7 linked regions of the Macaca mulatta genome follow. The protein of the gene in region 4 interacts with the protein of the main gene of each other region in a pairwise test. Links are inferred from orthologs where the notes say so. Each region holds a gene or a part of one and is shown on either strand. Other genes may lie near its edges. The genes, in order: CNOT4, RNF167, TRIM39, UBE2E3, RNF111, ATXN1 and MUL1.

Region 1 (4,772 bases), on a different chromosome or scaffold from region 4:
AGAATCGCTTGAATCCGAGAGGCGGAGGTTGCAGTGAGCCGAGATCGCGCCACTGCACTCCAGCCTGGGTGACCGGTGAAACCCCTTCTCTACTGAAAAACACAAAAAATTAGCCAGGCGTGGTGGCGGGCGCCTGTAGTCCCACTACTTGGGAGGCTGAGGCAGGAGAATGGCGTGAACCTGGAAGGCGGATCTTGCAGTGAGCGCAGTGAGCCTAGATTGCACTCTAGCCTGGGAGATAGAGAGAAACTCCGTCTCAAAAAAAAAAAAAAAAAAAAAAAAAAGGAAAAAAGAAATGAGGGCTTCTTCTTATGACATTGAGTTCATAAATTTAAAACTGCAACCTCTTTCCCTACTCCCCTTTCCTAAGTTTTTAAAATCGGTTATGACATACTATGCATTTTAATCACGTATTTTTTAAAAAATGCCTCCTCTCTCCTCTTCCTCATCCCAACATATCACTAGGATGGGGACAGGGAATTTTTTCTATTTTGCTCACCATTGTGTTCTCAATATATAGAAGAGTACCCGGCGGCCAGGAGGAGCTCATTGAGTATTTGCTGTATGAGTGGGTGAAGAATACATGCAATAAGCAAAAATTACTGCTTCGAGCGCCGCTTTCACCAGAGTTCTGGGATGCAAACGGGAGCGACCAGTACATTGACTGACGTTTGTGACTGATGATTCTTCAGTGCTCGTAGAGATTGTGGCTGCATTCATTGTTCTTGGGGATGTGCCGATGTGTGTAGAGTTTGTCAACTTGCACACAGCTGTGCTGGCAGGACAGCGAACTAACACTAATTCGCACAGAGGTCTGCAAATTCTCAAATTCACATCAACCGAAGCACGTTATTGTAAGTGCACGGGTCTTCCGTTCTCTTGGGTAATCTGCACAGAACAATTTAGTATATTTCTTCACCGGCGATTTTACAGTGAAGAAGGTATCAAGGGTGGTGGCCCCCAAATGCGCAAGGACAGGGAAATGAATTAAACGGGCGTCTGTTTCCTCCTTGTTTCGCAAACAGACGCCAAGTCTGTATCAAATTCTTACCCTAGATCAAATCCCGCGCTCTTCGTACCCCAACCTGCCTCCACCTCCACCCCGCCCCCTTTAGATATCCCTGGTGGGCGGGGCAGAGAAGAAACATTCCGGGCTCCCAGAAAAATTGTCTAGCCTCGCCCCAGTCTTGGGGTCGCACATTTCCAAAAACACCGAGGACACAGAATGACTAGTGAAAACCGCCGACCAAATGACATTGAAGTAGCACACGCGCGCAGAGAAGGAAGCAAAACACGAAGAAAGGCTCAGTCCAGCAGCCACGTGAGGTGGGCGATCTCCTCCGCCCTCTGAGAGAGGACTTCAACTCCCGGCGTGCCCCTGGGCGGTTACCCTCCGAGGACTCCAACTCCCAGGGTGCTGCGGGAGCGGCCACCGCAACCTCCCACTCAGCCGCCCGCCGCTCCTCCCGCCCCTCCCCCGCCCCTCCTGGCCGGATCGGCGTGCGCCTGCGCACGGGAGGCCGGAGGAGTCTTACCCTAATGTAAGATGGTGGCCCGTCTGGCTGTGGAACCCACCGAAAGCTGAGAGTCTCTCTCTCAGCCGTAAAGGTCGGACTCACTGAAGCAATCAGGCCCGGTTCTGAAGAGTTTTTTCCCCGACGCTCGTTCGGTGGTTTCTTGTGAGGACGCGGCAGCGCGTGGAGTCGGCTGAGGGAAAAGCGAGGCAAGGCAGGCGGGTGAGTCTATGCGGGGCTGGGCTTAGGGGAAACCCGGGGCTGACCGGCTACGAGAGAGCGGAGGCTTCGCTGGGACTGTACAGGCCGCACCCCCCTTTCTCCCCACCCCCCGCCTCATCTTCACCCTCCTCCTCCTTGGTCTTCTTCCTCCTCCTCCTCTTCCTCCCTCTCCTCTTTACGCCACAGCAGTTATCAGGAAAAGCGAGCGGGTCAGAAGGCAGCGCGGCGGCAAGCAGCGACTCTCCTTCGAGAATTTCTTTAACTGGGGAGCCGAGGCGGCTTTTGGTCTCCAGCTTTGCCCCCTGCATTTTCATAGGGGCAGGATTCTTAGGTCTCAGTCCTCCTTGTTTCCCCAACCCCCTATTCCCTGTCTGACGTCCTTTCCCACTGGCCCCCGTCTCCCAAGACCAAAGCCATCACTTCCACTCTGACCCGTGTTGCTGCTGCTGCTCGTTAATCCCACTGCTCATTGCCCACCCGTCCTGCTGCTTGTTTTTTGCTCCACTGCTACCACTCTGGAGTTAGCCTTTGCCCCCCTTTGGTGCTTGCATTCAGCCCACAGTGTATCTGCCACACTAGGGCTTCTTCCGATTTGCAGTCTTTCCTTCCACCACATCTGTCATCTTAAAGCTGCCCCTTAAGTGTCTAGATTATGCTTCTGCTCCTGCTAACCCACCTGTTTCTTAGCCTTCTTGAGAATTGTCCGTTCCTTCCCTCTTTCCTGTACAGATCCTTTCCATATACACTTCCAGAAAAAGGGATGCCCCGTGGTGGCCCTTGAAAAGTAAAGGAAGTTGGGAAGTGAATGAAGTGAGGTCGGATAGTATTAAACGTTATGAGTAAAGATCTTTTATTCAGTCTACTCCGGAGGGGACCGTTTTCGTTTTGCTTTCAGTGATCTATTTGTCGCTTATTCGCTCTGTTGTGTTAGGACGTGGCTTTTTTCTTTTCTTTTTTTTTCATTTTGGACCGGTTTTTACCATGCTACTAAGCGTTCTTTGGATTGTCTCTGCCCAGGACACTTCGTGTGGGCTCTGATTTATACTAATATTAACCCCAGCAATTCAAAATAAGATAAATTTGGCGCACATACAGAATTCATCTGTGAACTCCGCTAGCAAATATAAGTGATATTTTGATTATATGTGGGTTATATGTGGGTTCTGTATTGAGACTTGATTTTTGACTGAGTTTTATTGATGTTCAGCTTAATTGATGACATTTTATTTATGATTTGAGTGGAAATTTCCTTTCCAGTTATTATCAGATTTACTTCTTATTTTTGGATTTGGGAAGTTCTCTTGACATTTCTAGGATGATAGTTATCTGAATAAATTGTCTTCTCTTGAAAATCCATTAGGTATGTATGCAAAAGAAAAATCGATGTTTTTATATAAACCTGTTTCTCGTATTTTTCTCATAGAAAAGAAGGGGGCTGGGAAAAGAATGACAAAGCTGTGCACATACATGCATTTGGTAGAACTCACTGTCATTGTTATCTACAGTAAAAAGCAGAAAACTAGAAGCAAGAGGTGGCTTATGATGTCCATGTTTTGGTGAAAGCAAAATTAAGATATACTGACTAATGGTATAATGGGAAGAAGCAGCCCTGGCTATAATCAGACCACTGTGAGATAAAGAATTACCAGAAAAGCAACCAGGATTACATAGTGCAAATACATACATCCCAAGTTTGAACATGACATATATGACATTGCATTCTTAAGATATATGTAAAAATGTTGAACATCAGTGACAGTCTCATGTGGCAGTCCATTAGTGGGTTATTGTAATTTTTACACATTTTACCTGTAAAATTTGGAATCTTAACATTTGGCATTATGTTCACTTGATTGTGATAAATGGTCTGTTTTACCAAATGTAAACTAAGGTTAGAAAACCTGTCTATAAAACTTTTTTCTTTCAGCCACTTAAGCCCCAATTTGGGGGACCAAATAAATACTCTTAGAACTGCAAGCAATTTATATAGCAAACTTTGTCCTAAGTTACAACTTGAGTTTTTTTTTTTTAAATCGCTTACATTTAGTTTATCAGAGGAGTGTATTTAATAGTTGATCTTTAACTCTAAAAAATATACTTTTTGTTGTTGTAATACACTGGTGGAGAAGCTTTCCACTTTGAACAATCCTAACACAGGTTTAGAAACTCTTGGCAATCATACTTGGCTGAATTGTAAGCAGTTGAGTTCTAGGAGAGGACTGTTTGTCTGGTAGAAGGGAGTAAATGATTTTAATACGTCTTTTTTTTTTTTTTTTTTTATTTAAATGGTGTTTGTCTCACGAAATATTTTCTCAAGTAATTTTCTCCCCTCATACTTTTTGCTTGCAGTTACCGAATTCTTCATTTCGGCCCTCTGAAGTCAAAAGGAATTTACTTTTGTATCTTTAGTACGTTTAAAGAAGACATCTAAAGTTCTTTAGTATTTTGATAAGAAATAGGGAGCTGAGATTTCTAAATATTTTTGTGTGGTTTAAGTTTTTTGATCTAACGTTATGAACGCTACAGCTTCATACTTTCATGGTTTCTTTTGATAATTTGGAATACTTTCTACCAGGTTCAATAGTTGAATTCTTGAGATCAATAGATTATTTCTGTAAGAATGTTTCGAATATGAATCGCTTAAAGTTGGCCTATTATAAAATTAGGATGAGACAGTTATACTCAAATAACAAAGTACAGAAAAATAAAATTGTTTTTGTATTGCCCTTCAACTTGAGTCTAAAAGGGAGTACTAGCGATAACTTGCAACTCATTACTTTGTTAAAGAAAGAGGGTGTTGCCAGAGGATGAACTCCTAGCTTTAAGGGAGTTTTATTTTAAAAATGATTTTGTGTGCTCTAAAGGAATAAAAAAAATCTTATCAGTTTAAGCAGTTTGGATTTAGAAATCTTCCCTTTTTTCCCCACTCTACTCTTGGCTTTAAAAGGAATCTATATTCTTCAGTTTAATAAATTTATCTTTTTGTTGTTTTGTGTGAGAAAAATATTAAATTTTCTTTTCTTTCTCTCTCTTTTT
Region 2 (3,398 bases), on a different chromosome or scaffold from region 4:
AAGACAAGTCAGGCCTATGATGGCTCCTTGTCCTCTGCCTTGTCTTCCTAGGTCCTAAATGCCCAGAAGGCTGGATATGGTGCCGCTGTAGTACACAATGTGAATTCCAATGAACTTCTGAACATGGTGTGGAACAGTGGTAAGGCTGGAGGAATCTATACAGCTGGGCTTTCAGTAGGACCCAGAGATGGTGGGAAGGCTGAAGGCTTCAGGAAAAGAAGCCAATCCTTTAGGTGGGTTGGGGCGAAAGTGCCAGATGCCAGGGTTCCCAAAGGATTTGAGTAGAAGGTTGTGAGTCCCCAGAGTAACACCTTGATCCCTGCAGAGGAAATCCAGCAGCAGATCTGGATCCCATCTGTATTTATTGGGGAGAGAAGCTCCGAGTACCTGCGTGCCCTCTTTGTCTACGAAAAGGGGTAGGACATATGCCTCCTTCCCATTCTTCCTTCAGCAAGCAGTTCCATGCCAACCTGGAGCCCAGGCCTCATTACCCGAACCATTCAGCCTCCTGTCCTTCCTTCCCTGCCTCTTTGACTTTCTTCCCATTCCCATCCCCACCTATGGGCTTTGTCCAGAGCCAGTTGCTTTGTCCCTCTGTTTTTCTCCCTTTGCCTTTCTTTCCCTGCTGAGACTGGTCGTCCTTTCCCAGGGCTCGGGTGCTTCTGGTTCCAGACAATACCTTCCCCTTGGGCTATTACCTCATCCCTTTCACAGGGATTGTGGGACTGCTGGTTTTGGCCATGGGAGCAGTAATGGTGAGTAGCTGAGGGAACATGATGGGAAGCACTGAGGCCAGACTGGATCTGGAGTTGGGAGATGGGAGTGGCTTGTCCTAGATTGTCTAGTTTTATTCCTAAGCCTTGTCCATCCACCCCCTCTTCCACCAGATAGTTCGTTGTATCCAGCACCGGAAACGGCTCCAGCGGAATCGACTTACCAAAGAGCAACTGAAACAGATTCCTACACATGACTATCAGAAGGGTGAGGGGTTAGGGGAGGAGAGGGTTTTTCCCACCGTTTACCTGGTTCTGAAGGACTTTGAGCCCAGAAGATAGGGTATACAAAGATGGCAGTGGCTGGGCACAGTGGCTCACGTAATCCCAAGTGCCTGTAATCCCAGCACTTTGGAAGGCCGAGGTGGGTAGGTCGCTTGAGCCCAGGAGTTTGAGACCAGCCTGGGCAACATGATGAAACAAAAAAATCCCACCACTTTGGGAGGCTGAGGCAAGTGAATCCCTGGACCCCAGGAGTTCCAGGCCAGCCTGGGCAACGTGGTGAGACCCCATCTCTATAAAAAATAACAAAAATTAGCTGAGCATGGTGTTGTGCGCTTGTAGTCCCAGCTACTTGGGAGACTGAGAAAGGAGAATCACTTGAACCAGGAAGGCGGAGGTTGTAGGGGGCTGAGATTGCACCACTGTGCTCCAGCCTGGGCGACAGAGGGAGTCCCTTTCTCAAAAAAATAAAAGTAATAAAGATGGCAGTAAGAAATTTTCAGCTTGAGATGCTGTCTTGTCTTGTTTTTACCCATAAATACAGTGAAGATGGGAGAGATATAAAGCAAAGATGATTAAGTGAAATAATTGTGGGAAATAATAGAGGGACAGACTTTGCTTATGGGGCATGTGGAGAGAGCAGAAAAATGGGAGGAATGGGGGAGGATTCAGTTAGAGAAGGAAGAAAGTGGTACTGTGGGGCTGGGGCTTTAGGCCCTGGGGCCTCCAGTGCCCGTATAAGGCTATGGCAGAAGCCCTGCCCATTTCCGTCCCTTCCACTCCCTATCTCCACCCTCACACCTCCCCAAAAACCACTTCCCTTCTTACCTCTGCTTCTCTTTGCTTGTCCCTTTTAGCCCTAAATTCTTCCATGTTCTGCCCTGACCTTATCCTGCCTACCTGTCTTAGCTCTTCCACTGGCTTTGTAGGTGAGGGAAAATTTTCGCAAGGCTTTAAAAGCCTTAGCCCTGGGTCACGATGGCTCAGTGAAGGACTAGATTATTTTCTTTCTGTCCCAGGAGACCAGTATGATGTCTGTGCCATCTGCCTGGATGAATATGAAGATGGAGACAAGCTGCGGGTACTCCCCTGTGCTCATGGTGAGGCCCTCACTGCCTGCCCATGCCCCTCTGCCACTGGCAGCCACCAGGTGCTTCACCTTGTTCCTCTCTGCAGCCTACCACAGCCGCTGCGTGGACCCCTGGCTGACTCAGACCCGGAAGACCTGCCCCATTTGCAAGCAGCCTGTTCATCGTGGTCCTGGGGACGAAGAGCAAGAGGAAGAAGCTCAGGGGCAAGAGGAGGGTGAAGAAGGGGAGCCAAGGGACCACCCTGCTTCCGAAAGGACCCCACTTTTGGGTTCTAGCCCCACTCTTCCCACCTCATTTGGTTCCCTAGCCCCAGCTCCCCTTGTTTTTCCTGGGCCTTCAACAGACCCCCCACCCTCTCCTCCCTCTTCCCCCGTCATCCTGGTCTAATAACCCTCTACACGTACACTTCTGGTGACCTATTTGCACAGACCGTCTTCTTCCCTCCAGTCTTCTAAGTTGAGGGATAGGGGACATTCCATCCTAAGCTGCTCCCTTACCCACACCTATCCTTTTGAGGGGCATTGGGGTGGGGCTGGGGCAAGCAAAGGGACTGGGTCTTCACTTCTTGGGCTAATAAAATTGTTTTTTGTGGACTAAGGAAGGGTGAGATAATTTTTAGGTGAACTTAACCCTTTGGGGGAATCACCCCTTTAGCCATAAGGAGCAAGAGAATGCTGAGACACTAACCTATAGTCATGGGGACAGCCCCAGCAGGCATTTGCTATGACTCAGGGGGAGCCCCACCCACAAGGATGACTCAACTAGCCCTGCCTTGCCTGCAGGCCTGCACCCATTCTCTGGTCCAGATGGCTCTATTCCATTATCCACCAATTTAACCAGCACACTGAGGACTTAGGCCTGGAAATGCCACTGTGGAGGGGCAGGGCCACCTGGCCAGAAGCTCAAATTCTTGCACCTTGTAGTACCTCAACCTTCCTGCTCCCAAGCCATGATAAAGGAGGCAAGTCACAGTGCCTGTCCCCCATTCTGACACCCAAGCTCAAATCACACAGCACCTTGTTAGAATCTTTTTTATTCAGAAAAAAAAAAAAAAACCCAAAAAACAAAGTTTTCCAACCACACACAGGAGGGGTATGGGTAGGGGGAGGTGTCTGTCCATCCAGCCCTGGTCCCCAGCCCATGTGGTTTTGGCAGCAATAAGGGGTATGGGGTAATGGCCTAAAAAATAAAATGGTGTATGTGTATGGGGGAGGAAAGGGGTGCAAAGCTGTGGGGAGCGGTGAAGGGGAAGGGACAGACGAGGTCAGTACTGGGAGCGCCGAAGGTGGGAGGCCATTTCATAACATTTCTT
Region 3 (5,000 bases), on a different chromosome or scaffold from region 4:
TCGGAGACTGCGGTAGCGGGATGTCTTTCGACAGACAGGACAAGGGAAGTCCCTCTCTAGGTCTTCCCACCAGCGGGTGATGCAAGCTTTGCAGAAGTTGTGCCCACACTCAATGATGACAGGTTCCTTCAGATACTCCAGGCACACAGAGCAGCTTGCCTCCACCTGTAAGTTCTCCAAAGCCGCAGCTGTAGAGGCTGCAGAGGCCCCAGCCTCTAACAGACTTGTCTCTGCCATAATTTAACTTGGGAGTGGGGAAGAGGACAGAAAAAATAAAAATATTAATTGGAGGTGTTTTTTTTTTTTTTTTTTTTTTTTGCATCCCTGGCCCAACATTTATCCCTGTTAAGTCCTAACTCCAGATTTGCCCAATCTTGTTATTCTCCATCTTCTCTTTCAATCAATTCAATCTCTTTGTTTCTCCATTTCCAAAACTTGTGACTCCCAGCCATTAACCTTTTTTTCTTGTTAGTAAACTGACACACAACCCCCAATTTATCTATCTTGTCTCTTACCTCTGCTTTCTCTTGTTAGAAAGAGCAGCTTCCTTCAACTCTAGCTCAGCATACTTCTCCTGATCCAGGTTCATTCCACTTGTATCTTAGAACCAATAGTTCCAGACCACTGTATCCTCGTTTGACATACGTTTCTAATAGATAAGAAAGGAATCTGAGAAGTAAAAAATGTCATAAAAATATTAACATTTCTTAAATTAAGCATATTTTAAAGTTTAATGTTATAAGGGCTTTATGATGAATCCACTGGAGTCTAAGCTTGATTCTCTGACACTGTTCTCTCATTCTTCTAAACCACAGTATCCAATCTTTTGGCTTCCCTGGGCCCATTGGAAAAAAAAGTATCTTGGGCCAGACATAAAATACATTGACACTAATGACAGCTGATAAGCTAAAAAAAAAAGAAGTCCATGCATAACTTTTGTTCTATCAGCCACCACAAAAGGTCCATGCATAATTTTTGTTTTATCAGCCACCACAGATAAGTAAAAAGAGTCCTCCCATTCAAAAGGTTAGATACCAGTGTTCTAAAGGCTAACAAATGGAATGAATGAAGCAAAGGCAACCTTCTCTTTCCAGGAAAATCTGAAATTATTCTTCCTTTTATCCATCAGACTAGCCTAAAGGAAGTCTGCTCTCTTCTTGGAATAACATATTTCATGCAACATTCCATTTCTATTGTGTTCATTTGGACACTCAGAACTGCTGAAAACTGATAAATTATGGCAACTATATTAAATAGTACATTACTGAGCTCAGGCCAACAACTTCTTGTAAAGAAACAAGTCTATTTATAGTGACTGGAATCCTTCAATATAACTATTGATAACTAACATCCTGGGCATACTGTGTCTCCAACTAACAGGTTCTGGAGTGGTTGGGAATTAAGAGACAGAAAAGAGGCAATGAGATCTCCCTCAAGTGCAGCCTCAGAAGAATTGGAAATGCATAAGAGAGATTTATAAAACACAACGCTGGTCCCCCACTCCATCTTAAAACGTCGATACTTTTAGCCATGGGTAAGTTGATGTATCTATCCCCATAACCCTTTCTCCTCCTGACCCCCATCCTTCTCTAGGGACCTACTGGAAGGAAGGAAATTTGGTAAATCTATGTGCTGAGAGATAAGTGGCCATGTAATGAGGTAGGTTAACAACAATTGTTCCTGTATATATTGTTGGCACACACAAATGTGTTTGGAGTAGGAGCTGATAACTTCTTTGGACTTGAATTTTTTCTGTCAGCAATAGGAGAGAAGTTCAATCAGATGATTTCTCTCTACCTGTGGAAATCCAACTTTGACTTGTGGTGACCCTACCCCTTCCTCAGTCTTTTACAAATTAGGTGGCCTCCTCACCTGAGATGAGTAGAACTGTATGCACAGTAAGGCACCAGGACAGATCTAGACTGGCAAAGAAGTGGTGAAAGAAATGGGGAAAGGGTTCGGGAAGAATGGAGAGGACTCTAAACTACAGTCATAGTGAGACCTTGAGTGCCTCTGGGTTAGTCCTTCGTCTCCCTCTACTCCTTGTGTCTCAGCTGAAGGGCAAACTTCAGGGACGATCTCATTTTGTTTAAACCACTGTTCAGGGTCCCACCTTGCGACCCTGTCCTGAGAGGTTGTCCACAACTCTGTCCCACCCCCGTCTCCATTTTCTTCCGCCAGATCTGGGGCAGGGGGATTGGAGAGGGGAAAGAGGAAACGTCGTTGCTGGCAGGGTAGGGAGGGATGCGTGTCCAGGTGAGGAAGAGGTGTGACGTGAAGGTGGGATGCCCGCCGCTATGACGCAGCCGAGACCCGCGGTGACTGCGTCAGAGTTTCACCCGGGGAGGTGAGCAGCAGCGGGACGGGGGAACGGCGGGGTAGCCAAGCAACGCCGGACGCGCTGACGTCGCCGGGGCGGCAAAACGTCCGCCCGGGCCCGAGGCGGGCGGAGGCAGCTGTGGTTACGTGCGGGGGGCCGGTGACGCAGTCGCGGGGCGCTGGGACGCGACTTGCGGAGCCGGCCGGCGGGGGCAGGCCCCAGACTCGGGCGCGGCGGCGGGACAGCACCTACCTTCCCGGCTTCGGGTCCGGGAGTGCGGGGCGCGGAGCCGCCGGAGCGCTGCCTCCCTCCTTCCTCCTCCCCTCGCCCCCGCCCCGCGGCGCGACACACAATACTCGCCGGAAGCGGAAGCCGCGCCGAGGCTCGTGTCAGTGGAAGCTGGGGTGTCGGCAGGCAGCAGCGGCCGGGTCTAGCGGTGGCTGCGGAAGGAGGAGGTGGAGGAGGGCTGGCGATGAGAACCAGCAGGAGGAATCAAGGACAAGAAGGGACCCAGAGGGGCAGGTGGCTGAGATGCTGGCGTCCAGGTGACCCGAGGAATCCTCTGGAGATAGAGGCCCGCGCATGCGCGTGCTCGAGCGCTGAAGCCCATGGCCCGCAGGGCGCTGGACGGGCGCCCCGGCCGGCGAGGCTGTCCCGTCCAGGCTCCAGGCCCCGGCTCTGGCCAGGCGCCGCCGCTCCCCAGTGCAGCTGAAAGTCGACGAAGAGGGCGGGGCGAGGGCGGCTTGTGGACTTCCACACTTTTCCTCTCTTCGGGCCAGTCCGGGGAGAGGGTGGCTAGCTGTGGCGGCGGCCAATTACGTGGCGGACCTGCGGGGCTCAGCTGGCACGTCACTTCCGACTGGTGGAGTTTTAGCCTTTTAACATTCAAGGATTAGGTAAGTTCTCCCCCGGGTAGACTTCAAATACTCTTTGTCCTGCCCCTGCTTGGCGAAGTTTACCGAAATTATCTACCTACCCCGCTGGAGTGGGAGCCGGGAGAGAGCTGGAACCGCGACTCTGCTGCTCACCTTTGTGTCCTTAGCTCCTTCGCATGGGGTCCGACCGCAACACGTGCGCTGGATAAACGCTGGTTAACTGGGTGAGAGCCCAGGCCTGTTCTTTCTTCTGGGGCTGTGACTTGAGTTTCTCCGCAGGAGCAGATAGTGTTTGTGTAGGGACTGCGGACTTTTACATTACAGCCTCCCTGCTTTGCTCGCTTGCTGCTGGAAGCTTAGCAGGTCCTGTGATTTTGGAGGAAGTGGGTGAGGTGATGAGGCCAGGAAGAGTATGCTGGGAGAGGTGTCAGGGGCCCGGGAAGCGGTGATGGGGCTGGGGAGGGGTTAGTAGTGGGTAGAGGTGTGAAGAGGCTGAGGAGGAGGGGTTAGTGCTAGGAGGGGTGTGACACGGCTGGTAGAAAAGATAGCTTGCTCCGCCTCCCCGCCCCCAGCACTAGTCCTGGAGAACATTGATTGAAAGAGATGAGCAAATTTTGATGTACTCTCCTTGGTGAGAAAGTGCCCTAATTTCCGGTGTAAGTTGTGCTGCTGTTTACAAACACCCTGCATTATTTAACCTCTCATCTTGGGAGCCAGAAACTATTTACTTGTAGAAAATATCCAGTATCTAAGGTATAAAGATTTGGGATCACACATGCTAATTACAGTTGTCTACCTTTATTATTCCTTTTTTTGTGCCAACAATTGAAGAGGATTAAATTTGAGAAAATTACATTTGATACCTTTTTTTCACATTGCTATGTAGCCATTAGGGATTTTAGCAGCAGCAGTTGTTCTAATTCACAAGATGCCTCACTTGTAAGGGTAGTTTGAAAGCCACTAACTGGGCGGTGAGCCTCCTTAGCCTTGGCTTCGGAGGGAGAGTGAGATTTGGTTTTGATTTGTTAATTTGTGGCGCATAAGATGTTGATAACCCTCCTTTCTGGCGTTCGGTTTGTAAATAACCAGGAGGATTGTGATTAGACTAAGGAAATTAACAAGAGGAGGTCCAATTCTAAGGATTATGAAGAATGAGCTTTCCTAGAGACTGATATTAAGGGGATTTTACGGGCCGGGCGCGGTGGCTCAAGCCTGTAATCCCAGCACTTTGGGAGGCCGAGACGGGCGGATCACGAGGTCAGGAGATCGAGACCATCCTGGCTAACACAGTGAAACCCCGTCTCTACTAAAAAATACAAAAAAACTAGCCGGGCGAGGTGGCGGGCGCCTGTAGTCCCAGCTACTCGGGAGGCTGAGGCAGGAGAATGGCGTAAACCCGGAAGGCGGAGCTTGCAGTGAGCTGAGATCCGGCCACTGCACTCCAGCCTGGGCGACAGAGCGAGACTCCGTCTCCAAAAAAAAAAAAAAAACGGGGATTTTACGCTGAATATGGAAGGAAAAAATGGAGACTGCCTAGGTAAAACTATAAAATTATGAAGCGCAAATAGTATGACATATAACAGGGCTTGGCAAATCTTTGCTGTAGAGCCAGAGAGGACATCTTTTTGGCTTTGTGGTCCATACTGAACTTTCTTCTTGGAGTATGAAAACATCATTAGACAATACTAAATGAAGGCTGGGCGCGGTGGCTCACGCCTGTAATCCTAGCACTTTGGGAGGCCGAGGCGGGTGGATCACCTGAGGTCAGGAGTTTGAGACCAGCCTGGCCAACATAGCGAAACGCT
Region 4 (4,241 bases):
ACCCTGTATAGAAAGAACTAAAGTAAGGAATTGATCAGTTATACTTAAATAACTGATACAGTAATTCTATCTACGTGTGTGGGTACGTGTGTTTGCATCATATACAACTGTGTGTGCACACACACATACAGAAAGACAAAGTGAGGAAGAGAAATATTTTGGTGCCAAAGGTAAGAGGAACTGATGAAGATTTTTTTTAAAACATAAAAGTTACATCAGTTTCTTAGTAGAAAAGATCAGTATCAATTCAGCTAATTTCCTACCAAACGTTAGAAAATACTGGAGGATTTAGAAGAAGGTTGGTAAAATCATTTACACTACCACCTTTCTGTTTCTTAGCCTTTTATTTCTACAGCTGGTTCACTGTCTTGTTAGACTAAAATATTAAAATAAACAAGGTTTTTAGCTACTGGACAAAGGAAACTAATATATCCCTGAAATGTGTGAGAGAAGAAGATAAATCATAAGAACAAACACTGCCAAGTCTCAAAACAATCACAAACACTAATTGGATAGTTAATTCATAATTGGAGTTGCTGAGAAAAAAAAAAAATTTCTGATCATTTGAAACTAGCAGTGCACTGTGGGCACAAAAGTGGAATCTGGGAAAAAAATATTAAATGCTCTCAAAAGTGTCTTTCTGAAAAGAATGCATGATGGGGAGGGGGTGGGGGAGCACCACACTAGTTTAGTGGGGGAGGAAGAGAGAATGCCCTTCCAGAACTGCTCTGACCAATACAGCATATACTAGATGTGCATATACAGCTCTTAAATTGTGGCAAAGTGAATTGAAACAAACTAAAAGTGTTGTAAAATAAATACCAGATTTCAAAGAGTTAGTACCAAAAAGAAAATGTATAAGATTTCATTAACAATACTCTTACAATGATTACATGTTGAAATGACAATATTCTGAATATGTTGGGTTAACTAATATAGTATTAAAATTCTGGTTTTTACGTTTTATGTGGCTAGTAGGACATTTAAAATTATACATGTAGATTTTACTATATTTCCATTAATGCTGTTCTAGAATATAGAAATAATTTATGTTCAGATCACTGACATTACTACTCAATACACATGTGATTTACAAATATATTTTCAGTTATAACTACTGAACAGAGTAGCATTCATGAACGGATTTCTATTAAATATTTATTATCCTTCAAGAAGCTCAACATTTTTTCCAAACTTCAAAAAGATTTAGCATTGTAGAGAAATAATTGTTCCAAATACCAAGATCACACCAGAAATCATTTTTCACTTGTCCAACTACAGATCTTAATAATGGTTAATACTGTATATCTTAGCAACAGAGCGAACTAACACCAAAGAATTAGAAATTTAATATATTGCAATTTCAGCAAAAAACTAACATGCTAAATTTATAATCATTATATTAATCAAAATTATTGGCAAATCATATACAGTACTATATACTGTGAAATTCTTATATTAGTCAATTGCCATTTTCCATTAAAAGGTGTCAGAAAAACTTGAGTCTTTTTCTTCAATTAATCTTCCCCATATGCAAAAATAATTTCAAGATCTTACATTCTGATGGGACCACACGGTTAAAGCACTTTAAACACTAACAGCTGTAACTGAGAGTAAACGGTGTCTGCGGTTTGGGGTAAATACCACTAGATGGAACTCTTGCTACCTTGTTAGATGATTCATTACTGAGAAATAACCCTCTTTTATTCACAAAATAAATCTGTTTATGTGCACATACACACATACACACAGGCTACATAAATTTTAAATGGTATACATTGCAACATAAACTTTATAAAGTATAGAGAACAAAAGTTACCATGTTGGAAAGAAAAACATTTCACCATAGTTAAGGGCTATGGACTTGAAAATATACTTTCCTCTAGTATGTCAGACATCTCTGTAACAAAAGCATAATAATGCTCATACTTAATTCCAATGGTTTTTACCTGCTGACTTGACCATCGTAGAAACAGAAGTTACGGGTGGGAGCCATTCAAGTAACTGTTATGTTTAAGCTTTGCAAAGTTGACGGTCATTACAAGGCACAACTCACCCCGTTCTCTGTTATCCATCTAATTCATACTTCAAATGAACTCAGAGCCAACAAAACTGAGGCATTCTGTTTCCATTACTACATCATACCCACAGAAGGTACAAAATGAGTTTACTAAATATTATTCATTTCCCTCTTCTTGGCTATGAAGTTTTTGCTTATCTATAAAGATAAGGTATTCAGCACAAAATTCACATTATTAAACACTTATTTCTGGAAGCTGTCAGTTTTACTTTTTATCCTAATATCTTCATTAATACCTTAATAGTTAATTAAGGTATTATTAATTAAGGTATTAATGAAGGTTCATAGGATATTTTCCCTCATAAGCATACAATTTATCTGCTTTACTGAGGTGCAAGGTATAGTTTTATTTACAATTAAGAATTAAACTTTCTGCTTATTACAAATTATTTGTGAAAGGAGTCAATTACTTCCAGTTTTAAAATTCTTGATTACATGAAATTTTCCATATCAATCCATGAAAAGCAATGAAATAAAAATAATTGCATCAATACACATTTAAGTTTTAGAATAACCCCAGTTAAATTTAGAGAAGGAGGATTAAATATTAAAGAATGCACTTCTAGCTTCTTACCTTTGGTGGCTTAAATGGATAATCTGATGAAAATGTGATATCCAGAAAAAACACACCACCTTCATATACAGAACCCGGTGGACCAAGTATAGTTGATCTCCATTCATAAATGTTATCTCCTTTAGGCCCAGCACTATTTAAAAGAAATTAAAAATCAGTATGTACATATATTAGCAATTCATGTTAATATCCTAAAACCAGGGAAGTGTTAAAGGTAAATTAGCAATCTAGAGCAGTAAGAAGTGAAATAAGTATAAAAGAAATAAGCCCCAATGTGTTTGCATGTGCATGTGTGTAAGAACTTATTTGGAAATATTACAAACTTACAGAGGAAATGCAAGAAAAGTACAAAGAAAATCGGTATAACTTTACCCAGTCTCCATTAGCATTCTGCTCTGCCCCATTTGCTCCTCTCTCTCCCCGTAACACACACCCCTCTAAACCTGCAAGCATGCATACAGACACGCTTTTTTCTCAGTCATTTGAAAGTTGCACACTTTATGGCCTTTTCCCCATAAACACTTCAGCGTGCATTTCCTAAAAATAATCTCCTATAAATCACAATACAGTTACAATTTCAGTAAATACATGAATACAATTCTTTAAACTGCAATTTGTATTATAATGTTGTCAACTGATTCTGTAATATCCTTTTAAAAAATTAATTTTTCTCCGGATGCAGGACCCAGTCTTGGAACCATGTATTTCCTGTGTCTTTATTCTCCTTTAATATGGGTCCTTTCTGCCTTTAACTTTTGTAACATTAACATTTTTTGCAGAATCTAGTCTTCTTTTTTTAAAAATGCTCATCATTTTGAGCTTTCCATGTTTCCTCATGATTTGACTCATGTAATGCATTTCTGGCTCAAATAGTATGTGATGTGTCCTTCTCATGGTATCACATTTGGAGGCACACAACATCTAGCTGTACCTCATTGGTGATGTTAAGTTTCATCATCCAGACATAGTGCTATCCAATTTTCCTACTGTTTAGTTACCATTTTTTCCCTGCAACCAATAAGCAATCTTTGGACAGACACTTTAAGACCAGGCAAATATCCTGCTTCTCATCAAAATTTCTTCCCAATATTAAGCATCCATTTGTGATCGCTATAGTTTGATCTGTCCCTGCTAAAACTCATGTTGAAATTTGACCCCCAAATGTGGCAATGTTGGGAAGTGTCTGGGTCACAGGGGTAGATCCCTCATGAATAAATTAATGCCCTCCCTCAGGGGTGAGTCCTCACTCTAGCAAAAATGAACTAGTTCCCAAGAGAACTCACTGTTAAAAACAGTGGCTTTCCTTGGTTTCTCTTTCTTCCTTCCTCTCTTGCTTTGTGATCTCTTTGCATTTGATGGTTGCCTTTCCACTGCAAGCTGAAGCAGCCTGAGGCCCTCACCAGATGCAGATGCCCATCAGGTGAACCAAATAAACCTCTTTTCCTTATAACCTACTCAGTCTCAGGTATTCTGTTACAGTAATAAAATCATGATTTTCCAATTCTAGAACTTTCTCTACACTTAACAGTTACCCCTTGAGCCCTTTCTACTGCCTGTACGTATGTACAGAAGTAAGTATTATTGGTA
Region 5 (4,241 bases), on a different chromosome or scaffold from region 4:
TTTTCAACACATACAATTTAGGAAAAGGCAGGGGAAGATTCTGGTTAGCAAAGAATCAATTTCTTATTGATTTAGTATAAGGATTTAGTATAGTTACTTTTTTGGGGAGAGAGAGAGACAGGGTCTTGCTATGTCACCCAGGCTGCAGTGCAGTGGCATGATCATGGGAGGATCATTTAAGCACAGGAGTTCAAGGACACAGTGAACTATGGTCACACCACTGCACTCCAGCCTTGACCCCCTGGGCTCAGGCGATCCTCTCATCTCAGCTTACCGAGTAGCTGAGACCACAGTAGTATGCCACTACGCCCAGCTACTTTCTTTTTTTTGTAGAGACGAGGTCTCCTTATGCCCAAGCTGGTCTCAAACTCCTGGGCTCATGTGATCCTCCTGCCTTGCCCTCCCAAAGTGTTGGAATTACAGGTGTGAGTCACTGCAGCCACCTATCTTTTGTTTTCTATTGTTGTTAAAGGAGACAAGGTCTTGCTCTATCACCTAAGCTAGAGTGCAGTGACACAGTCACAGCTCAGCTTTGACCTCCTGGGCTCAAATTATCCTCCTGCCTCAGCCTCCTGAGCAACTGGGGATTACAGGCATGAGCCTCACCCAACTTACAGTTACAAGTTACATTATTTCTAAAGACTTCGTGGTGTTTTTTTTTTGGTTGTTGTTGTTGTTGTTTGTTCTTTTTTAAAAAAAAGAAAACAACAACAACAAAAAACAGTATTTTACTGTGTTGCCCACATGGACTCAAACTCCTGGGCTCAAGCAACCTTCCTGGCTCAGCCTCCCAAGCAGCTGTGACTACAAGTGCATGCCACCATGCCTAGTTAGATTTCAGAGTTGTAAAGACCAATGGAAGTAGAAGAAAAAGCAAGCTTGACTTTCTTTTTAAAAATGTAAAACATACGTTGGATGCTGCATCATCCTCCTCCTTTGAACTTCCATCCTCTGCATCACTTCATGAGGATGCAGTCGCTGTGCTGGAGGTGCGGTGGCTGGAATATGGTGCGATATTGGCTGGTGTGTAGGAGGAAGATGCTGAGGGATTGGTGCAGCTGTACTGGCTAAGTGAGTTGGTGGTGGGGGTGCCACAGGATGAGATGTTGCATGAGAAGATATTTGAGAATGGAAAGCATGTACGGGATGAGGAATAACATAATCCACCTGAGGTGGAGGCTGAGTCTGAGGAGGGGGATTTCCATGAGAATGCGGGCAGGCAGAAGCTTGATGATGAAGTGGCCTTGTCAAAGAGGCATCTGCAAGAAAAATATTTCAAGTATGTTACACAGGCACCATGCAGTTGAACATATATTGCTATTATACATTCCTATTGTACTTTTAAAGATATTAGTAGATATTTTTATGAATACTTTATCAAGTATTCAAGCAACTGCTCAAGCAACTTGCTCCCTTCTTACAATAATCTTGGATATCTTATGTAAATATATATTATAATTTAACTTCACTCACAGTTTCACAACATTCTATTATATGAATATACCAAAATGTACTGACAAAATCCCCACTGATAAAAAAGAAACCCAAATGCTATGATAAATATCTGTGTATGTGGTCCCTCCTGCACTCACTCTTTCATTTATATACATGTATACACACATACATACAGATCATTTCTGTAGCATAAATTGCTGTAAGTAGTTGTGGGACAGAAAGAAAAAAATAAATTTAGATGCCAGTTGATAAAATACCCTTTCCAAAAGGTTGCCATAATTAATATTTCCATCAAGAGTACACAGGAAGGGCCGGGCACGGTGGCTCACACCTGTAATCCCAGCATTTTGGGAAGCCAAGGTGGGCAGAATCACCTGAAGCCAGGAGTTCAAGACCAGCCTGGCCAACATGGCGAAGGCCCGTCTCTACTAAAAATACAAAAATTAGCTGAGCGTGGTGATGCACACCTGTAATCCCAGCTACTCAGGAGGCCGAGGCAGGAGAATTGCTTGAACCTAGGAGGTGGAGGTTGCAGTGAGCCGAGAATATGCCACTGCACCCCAGCCTGGGCAACAGAGTGAGATTCTATCTCAAAAAAAAAAAAAAAAAAAAAGGAGTACACATGAAGGCCTGATTACCCCCACACTACCACTAAATTTTTTTTTTTGAGATGGAGTTTCACTCTTGTTGCCCAGGCTGGAGTGCAATGGTGCAATCTCGGCTCAGTGCAACCTCCGCCTCCCAGGTTCAAGCGATTCTCCTCAGCCTTCCAAGTAGCTGGAATTATAGGGATGCGCCACCATCCCTATACAAATTTTTTTTTGTATTTTAGTAGAGATGGCGTTTCTCTATGTTGGTCAGGCTGGTCTCAAACTTCTGACCTCAGGTGATCCGCCCGCCTTGGCCTCCCAAAGTGCTGGGATTACAGGCGTGAGCTACTGCGCCCAGCTCACTACCACTAAATTTTTAAAATAAATGCCAATCTGAGAAAAATCTTTTATTTCTTGACCACTTGCATTTCTTCTCAGAATTATCTATTTACATGCTTAGCCTATTGTATTATTCACCTTTTTCTTATTGACTTATATAAGTATTCTTTGCATATATGGAAGCTCTGTCATAATAGGTGTAAACATTTTTCCAAACTGTCTCTCTCTCTCTCCCCCTACCCCATGTTATCATCCCTGTGCTACATTAAGATGAAGGAGGCATATTTGTTTCCCAATAAATATGGAAGTAAAGTCCTTAATAAGATGGTTCCTCGCATTTCTTCATTCTACATCTTTATGTTTCAAAGTGACTGTTGAAAAATCCCTCTGAGGAATACACATCTTCCTTACTCTTAGAGATGTGCATCTACTTGACATGTAAAAAAAAAAAAAAAAAAAAGTTTGTTTCCTTAGATTTCAATCCAAATTTCATTTTATTGGAAAATGTTCTTGGAAGTCTGATATACAGCAACAGCCATTCTCTAGTTTCATTACAGAAGAGTTTTCAATTTTTAATGCTTTTGATTCATTCAGCAAGGGCAGAAGTTAGGTAACCACAACTCAACTATATTTTTAAAGTATGCCTTGTTTGTATGTACTTAAAGGAAACTTTCAACAAATCTAATTTTTAAAAGTTGCAAGACAAATTTTTAAACCAATTTTCGAACTGTTTTCAAATCAATGCTTTACTCTTTGAGAAGGCACAAAGCTCAGTAGCTCTTAATCATAAAAAATGAATACACTATGTTTATGATTGTTAACTATCCTTTCTCAAATTCACAGCATTTTTTCTAGTTTCAAAGTGTTATATTTGTGTAATCATTATACAAGACAATATTCACAAATATTACAAAACAAGAAGTTCTGTTTCAGAATGAGTCCATTTATTTAACTACTCTTAACACATCACTTTAATTCACTGTTTATCTAAACAAAACAGGTTGCTGATCATTTTAAGAATGACATAGTCTACATTCCCAAAAACCCTTTCCCTTCCTCTATTTGTGTTCCCAACAGTTTAAAAAAACAAAAAGTCTTGATATTGTTTCCTAGACATTCAACGTATCACTTGCAGATGTAGTATTATGATTTGTTCCAACATTTACTCACTACATTCCTATAGCTTTACAGTGTAGACCAGTTGCTTTGCTTTACAGTGTAGACCATTTGCTTTATGATTAATCATAAGTAGCCTTACCTGTACCTCTCTCTCTCTCTCTTTTTTTTTTTCTTTTGAGACAGAGACTCGCTCTGTCTCCCAGGCTAGAGTGCAGTGGTGCGATCTCAGCTCACTGCAACCTCTGTCTCCCGAGTTCAAGCAATTCTCTTGCCTCAGTCTCCTGAGTAGACGGGATTACAGGCGCCTGCCACCACGCCCAGCTAATTTTTGTATTTTTAGTAGAGACAGGGTTTCGCCAGGTTGGCCAGAGTGGGTTCGAACTCCTGACCTCTGGTGATTCACCCGCCTCGGCCTCCCCACAAGTGCTGGGATTACAGGCGTGAGCCACCGTGCCTGGTCTTTTTTTTTTTTTTTTTTTTTTTAAGAGACAGGTTCTCACTATGTTGTCCAGACAGGAGTACAAGGATTATTCACAGGTGTGATAACAGCACACTGCAACCTTGAACTCCTGAGTTCAAGCAATCCCCCTGCCTCAGCAGCCTCCCGAGTAGCGGGAAATACATGTTCATACTACCAAACCAGGCCTTACGTATCCTCTCAATACATCTTATTAATAAGATAGCAAAACTTTTAAATAATAGCATTTCAAGTACAGTTCTTTTATCACTTAATCAAGA
Region 6 (3,280 bases), on a different chromosome or scaffold from region 4:
CTGCGACACACCTGCTGTAACTCTAATGACAAGGTTAGAACAGAAACCTAAAATAAGAGGATAACATGTAAATACTGTGTTATTTAGCCTACAGTACAGTAATCTGGATACAAATGATAAGGGAGAGCCACGTTTCCTTTCCCCCACGCTGCCTCTACTTGCCTACATTAGACCGGCCTTCAATGCAAATCTTAACCTCCTGAGGAATTAGAGAAGGCTTAGGAAGAGTCAAAGGTGGTTCGTCTTCTGACTTCTCCAGTTTGCGGCTCTCCGGCGCCGACCACCTCCTCTTCCTCGTGGCCGCGGGCTTGCTGGGTTCTATTTTGGTGAGGAAGGGCGCTGCAGGCAATCCCATTTTCTCTGGAAACTTCAGTTCGCCATTCTCAGAGAGCATCTGGGCACTCCCCTGGTTGATTCCGTTTTCCTGCTCGGCATACCTGTGTCTGCTGCCCGCCAGGCCGTCGGCCTTTGAGTGCTTCAGCAGGACGCTGGCGGGATCCACGGGCTGGCCCTTTTTAACAGAGCCGTTCTTCAGGTTCTTGAGGGTAAGCGAGATGCACACATCCCCAACTGAGAGTTTGGAACACGGCAAATCAAAGAGCTGGCTGGTTCTCTCCGGACAGCAGGATGACCAGCCCTGTCCAAACACAAAAAAAGGATACTCTACCAAAACTTCAACGCTGACCTGTGGAAACAGGGAGAGACAGAGAGAGGAAGGGGACAAATGAAAACATTTTATTCTTGTTTGATTTTATGCGCACACACACGTATGAACTCACACATACACACATAGACACACACAGGCCGAATGGGGGAAAAATGACTCAGTTTGCAAACCTCCCTCTCCCCCAGTCACACCCTATAAATGAGGCTCTTCAGTTTGGGTTGTACCTGTACTTACCATAGACAGAAGCCAGTGAAAAGACCATCAATATTCAAAATATTCCACCAAGTGTTAGCTCTATAGCTGGTCTCTGTTAGAACCAGTCAATCAAACCCCAGCAATGACAGAACACCCACTTAGCTTTCAGCACCGAGCTAGGCTCTGCGGGTGGCTCAGAAGCCCAGCATGGTCTTAGATTTTATGAGCTCAATGGACAGCTGTTATTATCATACAGGACACGACTAAACAGGGATCAGAGTGAGACTGTAGGTGAGTTCCAAGAGGCAGGCATGATGTGTTTATCATTGAGTCCCCAGCCCCTGAAAGGATGCTTGGTGGCAGGGCACAGTGGCTCATGCCTGTAATCCCAGCACTTTGGGAGGCCAAGGTGGGTGGATCACTTGAGGTCAGGAGTTCAAGACCAGCCTGGCCAACATGGCGAAACCCTGTCTCCACTAAAAATAAAAAAAATTCGCCAGGTGTGGTGGCAGGCACCTGTAATCCCAGCTACTTGGGAGGCTGAGACACGAGAATTGCTTGAACCCAGGAGGCAGAGGTTGCAGTGAGCTGAAATCATGCCACTGGGCCATCTAGCTTGGGCCACAGAGTGAGACTCTGTCTCAAAAAAAAAAAAAAAAAAAAAAAAAGTCAATTTTCAATGTCCTTTCTAGATGTAGTAGACTAGGTAATTTGGACCAACCCTCCTTCTGAGGACAACTAAAAACTCTGAACAAAAATGTAAGCAAACAAATAAATTTAAAAACTCTGGACAAAATGTTTAAACTTTTTTTCTTATAGTACTGGACAGCAAATAAGATAGTAAAAAGGCCAGGTGCGGTGGCTCATGCCTGTAATTCCAGCACTTTGGGAGGCCAAGGCGCATGGATCATCTGAGGTCAGGAGTTTGAGACCAGCCTGGCTAACATGGCAAAATCCCGTCTCTACTAAAAATACAAAACTTAGCCAAGTGTAGTGGCAGGCGTCTAGAATCCCAGCTACTCAGAAAGGAGAATCGCTTGAACCCGGGGGACGGAAGTTGCAGTGAGCCAAGATTGCACCACTTTATTCTGAGACCAGCCTGGCCAGCATGGTGAAACCCTGTCTCTACTAAAAATACAAAAATTAGCCAGGTGTGGTGGCAGGTGCCTATAATCCCAGCTACTCGGGAGGCTGAGGAAGAAGACTTGCTTGAACCCAGGAGGCAGAGGCTGCAGTGAGCCGAGATCGCAGCACTCTACTCCAGCCTGGGAGATAGAGCGAAACTCCATCTCTCTGTCTCTCTCTCTCTCTCTCTGCCTCTCTCTCTGTCTCTCTCTGTCTCTCTCTGTCTCTCTCTCTCTCTCTCACACACACACACACACACACACACACACACACACAAAGTCCCTGGGTTGGATCAGGAAAGCATGATGGCCCAGGCAGTTGAAGCTGGTGTTAGGGGCCTGTTATCTCCTGAAGACACCTGAACATTCCAAAGTGGAGCAGTTGGGAAACCAACTGGACTTTTGATAATGTTAAGAGCATAGGGAAAAGGTAATGAAGTTCAGGGTACATCAAGGGAGGGTGCTCTCTGGTGAACCCCATTCTTTTCAGTTGTGACCCCAAAGCACTGTCCCTTAGAGGTGACAGTGAACCACAAGCCAACAGGCCTTTCAAGGTCTCAAGCTCAGATTTGACTCATCTGAGTTCCTAAAACTGGATTAAGGTCTTGAATTATTTTCACAATTTTGCAAATAAACGCATTCAATTTAAAAAGGGGAAGTTGGTGGTCATGAGGAGACCAGATAACATGTATAAACACTAATAAAATATCAGATCTTAAAAACAGATGCTCCAGGGCTTCTCATATAGAGTCATACATACAGACTTTACAATGACTATGCTTACAATATTCAAGAAGATTAAAGACAGCTTGAGAATTTTGATAGGAAACTAGGACCTGTTTTTAAAAGATCCATGAAGCCAGGCATGGTGGCTCACATCTGTAATCCCAGCACTTTGGGAGGCTGAGACGGGGATGATCACTTGAGGCCAGGAGTTTCAGATCAGTCTGGGCAACAAAGTGAGACCCTGTTTCTACAGAATTAAAAAAAAAAAAATAGCCTAGTGTGGTGATGCGCGCCTGTAGTCCCAACTACTCAGGAGGCTGAGGCAGGAAGATCTTGAGCCCAGGAGTTAGAGGCTGCAGTGAGCTATGATCGCAAGATGCACTCCAGCCTGGGCAACAGAGTGAGACCCTGTCTCTAAAAAAATTAATTAATTTTTAAAAAGATCTATGAGAATTATAGAATTAAAATATACACCCATTGAAATCAAGAATGCAATGAGTTTTCCAGTTGAATAGACGTGGATTAAGAAAGAATTCATGAAGTGGATTCTCTAATTAGAGCTTTAGAA
Region 7 (3,972 bases), on a different chromosome or scaffold from region 4:
CCAGTTCATTCACCTTCCATTACAGGCTAAGTGCCAGAAGGACGATGAAAAGGGGACGGAGACTTTCAAGGTGCACAAAGAGGCCATTCCCGTCAGGGGCCTTTCACCCTGCCCCGCCCTCCAGCACCTTGTGTAAAACCAGGGTCTTCGTACTTCACTGGACGGACTCAATATTGGCAAGTGGATTCTTACCCCAACTTTCACCTGCTGCTCTAGTGTGGCCACCAGTTCGCCTCTATGGACTTGGGGAACACGTCTCTTTTGAGTGTTCCTGTTAGCACTGAGGAATTTACTGGCCGCACATTTAGTGAGCAGGAAGATGAGGACTTTAGAAACAGCTTGGGGTTTAAATTCAGACCCGTGACTTGCTATATCTGTGCCCTCAGCCCAGTGAACGCACCCTCTCCAGGCCTCCTTCCTCTCCCATACAGCAGACACACCAGGACTCGGCCTGCAGGGGTTTGTGAGGATGCACTCACTCTGAAATAAGTGTGAAACAGCACGCAGCACAGGACCTCCTGCACAGCGGTATTGCTAAATGCTCATGTCCTCTCTGCTGTCCCCCAGTGCCCCATCTCCATCCCATTCTCCCAGCAGGTGAAATCTCACTGCCCTGGTTTGTAGCCTGTTGGGACAGACTTCAAAGACGGTCAGCAAGTCCAGCTATAACCTGCGGGCGGGCTGTCCAGATTCCTCCCTGGGGGCAGGCATCCCTGCCTCCGCATCACACCATCTGGGGGAGGCCCAAACCACTACAGCCAAGGAACAGGACACAGAGGCCTCAAACTCCCCACCTTTCTCTCCACTGCAGCGGGGATTCAATCCCATCCTGAGAACGCTTAGGCTTAGCCATTTAACTCTTTTTAACAAGCAACAGGCTAGCACTTGGTTGCAACATGTTTAATTTGTGCTGTTCACACTGGACACTGCATCGTACTAGTGTCGGCCCCTGACGGCACCCCTTCCTCACCTGCACAAAGGAGGACGAGATATGAATATTCAAAGGCAGAAAAGGGCTATAAAAAAAAGCTGTGTATGTGACCTCCGACTGCTCAGAGGCGGGGGAAGACAGCCCCATTGGTCTTGCACTCAAAGGCTCACCAAGGACAGGTGAGGGGCAAATGGTAATACAGGGAGGGGGTAACAAAAGGAGAAGCAACATGAGTACACCAAGATGTCAACACTGCGACAGGCTGGATGAGGGAGCCCTGAAAGGCCGTATGCTCAGGGTGCCAGCCGGCTGCTTTTCCTTGTGACAGCCTTGCAAGGAAGCTGTGAGGCCAGGACACTAGGCCAGCGGCATCCACACTGTGTCCTTCGGGAGGCGAAGCCTCTGCGCCTCATTCTCCAGGAGGGAAAACCAGGACCACCCCTGAGCTTTCCCAAGTGGTAGCACTTCAAATCAGGGCCAGCGGCGAAACCAGGAGGGCTGCCTGACCAACTGCCCTTCACGCGATCTCTCTCCAATCTGTTGCCCAGGGCCCCAACCATTTGGGCAGAAGCAGATGTGCTGACTTCACTTTCTTTTGTCCTCTACACACATGTGCAGGCGTTTAAGAGGCAAGCCGGTGAGGGAAAAGGAACACAAGTTGACCCGCCCAGCCTGACAATTCTGAAGAAAGACTATTTCCCGGGGCATGAGGAAAAAGAAGAAAAGCTGCGGCAGAACCTCTTTGGAGGCAGCATCCAAGGCATCCGTTGTACTCAGGGCCCAGCCTTTCCTCCCCTCTGACTGAGTCCTCCACCAAGTCCACAGCAAGCAACAATTCACCAGAAAAAAAACAGAAGACACAGGAACAGAAGGGCTGCTGATCACTGACTTTGGTGCCTAAGCGATGAGGCGTTTTCAGTCACACTCGCACGGATCTGGCTCCTGGGAGGAGACGCCACGGCAGCCTCCCAGGGCAAGGCTCTGATTCTCAGGCCCCACGTGGACAGGGTCCCCATTCAGGCGGGAAAGGCAGCATCTTGCCACTGGAGGCGTGGGTCCCTCAATCATACCTGGAGGTGACAGCTACCCCCGCCACTGCTCCTTCAAAGGCCTTCAGATAAAAATCCCTGAAAAGGGGGCAGGGGAGCTACCATGCCAAGCTGTGCAGCTTCCAAACCATTAGCTGTTGTACAGGGGGATCACCCGGGTGATCGCCTGTCTGCAGATAGGGCACTTCTTGGGCTCTGGCAAGGCGCGGTAGCACTCGGTGCAGGAACAAACGTGCCCACACTCCAGAAAGACGCAGGACTTGAAGCTGCTCAGACACACGACACAGGCGCTCTTCAGACTCTCCCTGTCCTCGGGCTTGGCCCGGCTCAGCAGCTGGGCCTCATGCTCCTGGAACTCCTCCTGCATCTGCTTGAGGCGCAGACGCTCCTGCCGCTGCAGATACTGCTTCCGGAGGATGAAGAAGAGGGTGGCACATGTGGCAAAGCCAAAAACCAGCGCCAACACCTTCCAGAGCCTGACGCTCGACTCTTGCCTCTGCAGCAGGCTGTCGAAGTCCTGGCTGCTTAGATAGTACTGCATGCCTTGTTTGGGCGGCTGCAGGCGGACAGAGTTGTTGTCCAGGACCAGTTCGCCAACCCCCGTGAGGGTGGCCCCCACCTTCAGCATCTCCTCGGTCTCCTGGATGCCTTTGGGCCGCTCACCGCTGATGTAGTGGCCGATGACATCGGTGAAGGACTGAATCGAGGGGTGGAACTTCTCATACACAGTCTCTAGGCCCAGATCCACTGAGTCCAGGGGCTTCAGCACTCGCACGGCCACATCCACACCATCCTCGTGGGGCACCAGGTCAAAGGGCACTGTGTTGGTCCTCTGATGAATGATCTTTGAGCAATCATTCCTAGAAGAATAAGAGAACTAAAGATACAGGGTAGCAAACAGCAAACACCCAGGCAGAGCTGGAGATCAACTAAATGCAGAAGACAGCATAGAGTCTGAAGTAACCAGAACAAGACAGTAAGATCACTATCTACAGGTGCCTCCTAACAAGGAGGCTCCATTTTTAGGTCCTGGGGCGATCTCAGTGGGCAACAAACACCGCCACAGACTACGGAAACCATTCATTTCCCTTTCCACTGTAAAACAAACATCTAAAACAGAACCCACTAGGACCAGCTGGAAAACTGGTATTTCATGAGATGGCACAAAAGCATTTTAGGAAATACTGAAATCACTGATTCAGTGGTTCTCAAACTTCAGTGTAACTAACAACAGATTCCAGGTGCCTGATCCTGGAAATTCTGGTTGGATAAGTCTGGAAGGGAGCCCAGAAATCTGCATTTCAACAAGATGCCTAGGTGATTCTGATGTAGGAGGCCCACAGGCTACACACAAGAATATGACCTGCATTAAGAGACTGGTCTTCAACCTCTCTCAGGAGAAGCTGAAGACAACGCAACAGCACCCAGGACCCCGGCATTTGAATAGACCAACTATAAGGGTTTTGGCCAGTGGAGAAGTGATACATACCAAAGGTGGGTGGTTCGATTCCACACCATCTTGTGCTCCTGAAGTGTCAGGCGCTGAATTACCCCCTTGCAGTTTTCCACAAACTGGCTGTTAAGAGTTTCTTTAACAGACCGTACAGCTCCTAAGTGGACACAAATTCTATTATTTCTAAAGAATTTTTCTGCCCTCTCCTTTCAGATAGTTTAAAATGTGTTTTCTGGTCTGGCACAGTAGTTCACAACTATAATCCCAACACTTTGGGAAGCCAAGGCAGAAGGATCACTTGGGGCCACGAGTTTGAGACCAGCCTGGTCAACACAGTGAGATTCCATCTTTACAAAAAATTAAAGTTAGCAGGGCATGTGCCTGTAGTCCCAGGTACTTGGGAGGCTGAGGCAGGAGAATCACTTGAGCTCAGGAGTTTGAGGCTGCAGTGAGCTATGATCACACCACCATACTACAGCTACCTGGGTGACAGACTCAAGACTCTATTTGAAACGGAGTCTCACTCTGTCACCCAGGCT

The links.
Region 1: the proteins of UBE2E3 (region 4) and CNOT4 interact in a two-hybrid assay, tested with the Homo sapiens proteins (3 studies listed by BioGRID and IntAct). The link is inferred for Macaca mulatta from reciprocal best matches to the Homo sapiens genes UBE2E3 and CNOT4.
Region 2: the proteins of UBE2E3 (region 4) and RNF167 interact in a two-hybrid assay, tested with the Homo sapiens proteins (2 studies listed by BioGRID and IntAct). The link is inferred for Macaca mulatta from reciprocal best matches to the Homo sapiens genes UBE2E3 and RNF167.
Region 3: the proteins of UBE2E3 (region 4) and TRIM39 interact in binary tests that used the Homo sapiens proteins (3 or more experiments, as listed by UniProt). The link is inferred for Macaca mulatta from reciprocal best matches to the Homo sapiens genes UBE2E3 and TRIM39.
Region 5: the proteins of UBE2E3 (region 4) and RNF111 interact in a two-hybrid assay, tested with the Homo sapiens proteins (2 studies listed by BioGRID and IntAct). The link is inferred for Macaca mulatta from reciprocal best matches to the Homo sapiens genes UBE2E3 and RNF111.
Region 6: the proteins of UBE2E3 (region 4) and ATXN1 interact in binary tests that used the Homo sapiens proteins (3 or more experiments, as listed by UniProt). The link is inferred for Macaca mulatta from reciprocal best matches to the Homo sapiens genes UBE2E3 and ATXN1.
Region 7: the proteins of UBE2E3 (region 4) and MUL1 interact in a two-hybrid assay, tested with the Homo sapiens proteins (2 studies listed by BioGRID and IntAct). The link is inferred for Macaca mulatta from reciprocal best matches to the Homo sapiens genes UBE2E3 and MUL1.

Annotation. Positions count from the first base shown.
Region 1 is NC_133408.1:175,335,615-175,340,386, reverse strand, and holds the start of CNOT4 (CCR4-NOT transcription complex subunit 4), read left to right. Parts: upstream 1-1,522; 5' UTR 1,523-1,736; intron 1,737-2,465; 5' UTR 2,466-2,551; intron 2,552-4,772. UniProt on the Homo sapiens protein: Has E3 ubiquitin ligase activity, promoting ubiquitination and degradation of target proteins. Involved in activation of the JAK/STAT pathway. Catalyzes ubiquitination of methylated RBM15.
Region 2 is NC_133421.1:6,494,440-6,497,837, forward strand, and holds the end of RNF167 (E3 ubiquitin-protein ligase RNF167), read left to right. Parts: intron 1-51; coding exon 52-139; intron 140-325; coding exon 326-416; intron 417-649; coding exon 650-755; intron 756-887; coding exon 888-981; intron 982-1,852; coding exon of another isoform or gene 1,853-1,924; intron 1,925-2,014; coding exon 2,015-2,095; intron 2,096-2,171; coding exon 2,172-2,473; 3' UTR 2,474-2,683; downstream 2,684-3,398.
Region 3 is NC_133409.1:152,701,247-152,706,246, forward strand, and holds the start of TRIM39 (E3 ubiquitin-protein ligase TRIM39), read right to left. Parts: upstream 3,156-5,000; 5' UTR 2,573-3,155; exon of another isoform or gene 2,003-2,572; intron 1,918-2,002; exon of another isoform or gene 1,873-1,917; intron 670-1,872; exon of another isoform or gene 650-669; 5' UTR 516-649; intron 245-515; 5' UTR 238-244; coding exon 1-237.
Region 4 is NC_133417.1:85,943,782-85,948,022, reverse strand, and holds part of UBE2E3 (ubiquitin-conjugating enzyme E2 E3), read right to left. Parts: intron 2,788-4,241; coding exon 2,655-2,787; intron 1-2,654. UniProt on the Homo sapiens protein: Accepts ubiquitin from the E1 complex and catalyzes its covalent attachment to other proteins. In vitro catalyzes 'Lys-11'- and 'Lys-48'-, as well as 'Lys-63'-linked polyubiquitination.
Region 5 is NC_133412.1:36,396,721-36,400,961, reverse strand, and holds part of RNF111 (E3 ubiquitin-protein ligase Arkadia), read right to left. Parts: intron 1,260-4,241; coding exon 911-1,259; intron 1-910. UniProt on the Homo sapiens protein: E3 ubiquitin-protein ligase. Required for mesoderm patterning during embryonic development. Acts as an enhancer of the transcriptional responses of the SMAD2/SMAD3 effectors, which are activated downstream of BMP.
Region 6 is NC_133409.1:166,775,034-166,778,313, reverse strand, and holds part of ATXN1 (ataxin-1), read right to left. Parts: intron 686-3,280; coding exon 155-685; 3' UTR 1-154. UniProt on the Homo sapiens protein: Chromatin-binding factor that repress Notch signaling in the absence of Notch intracellular domain by acting as a CBF1 corepressor. Binds to the HEY promoter and might assist, along with NCOR2, RBPJ-mediated repression. Binds RNA in vitro.
Region 7 is NC_133406.1:220,470,337-220,474,308, reverse strand, and holds the end of MUL1 (mitochondrial ubiquitin ligase activator of NFKB 1), read right to left. Parts: intron 3,591-3,972; coding exon 3,470-3,590; intron 2,841-3,469; coding exon 2,111-2,840; 3' UTR 889-2,110; downstream 1-888. UniProt on the Homo sapiens protein: Exhibits weak E3 ubiquitin-protein ligase activity. E3 ubiquitin ligases accept ubiquitin from an E2 ubiquitin-conjugating enzyme in the form of a thioester and then directly transfer the ubiquitin to targeted substrates.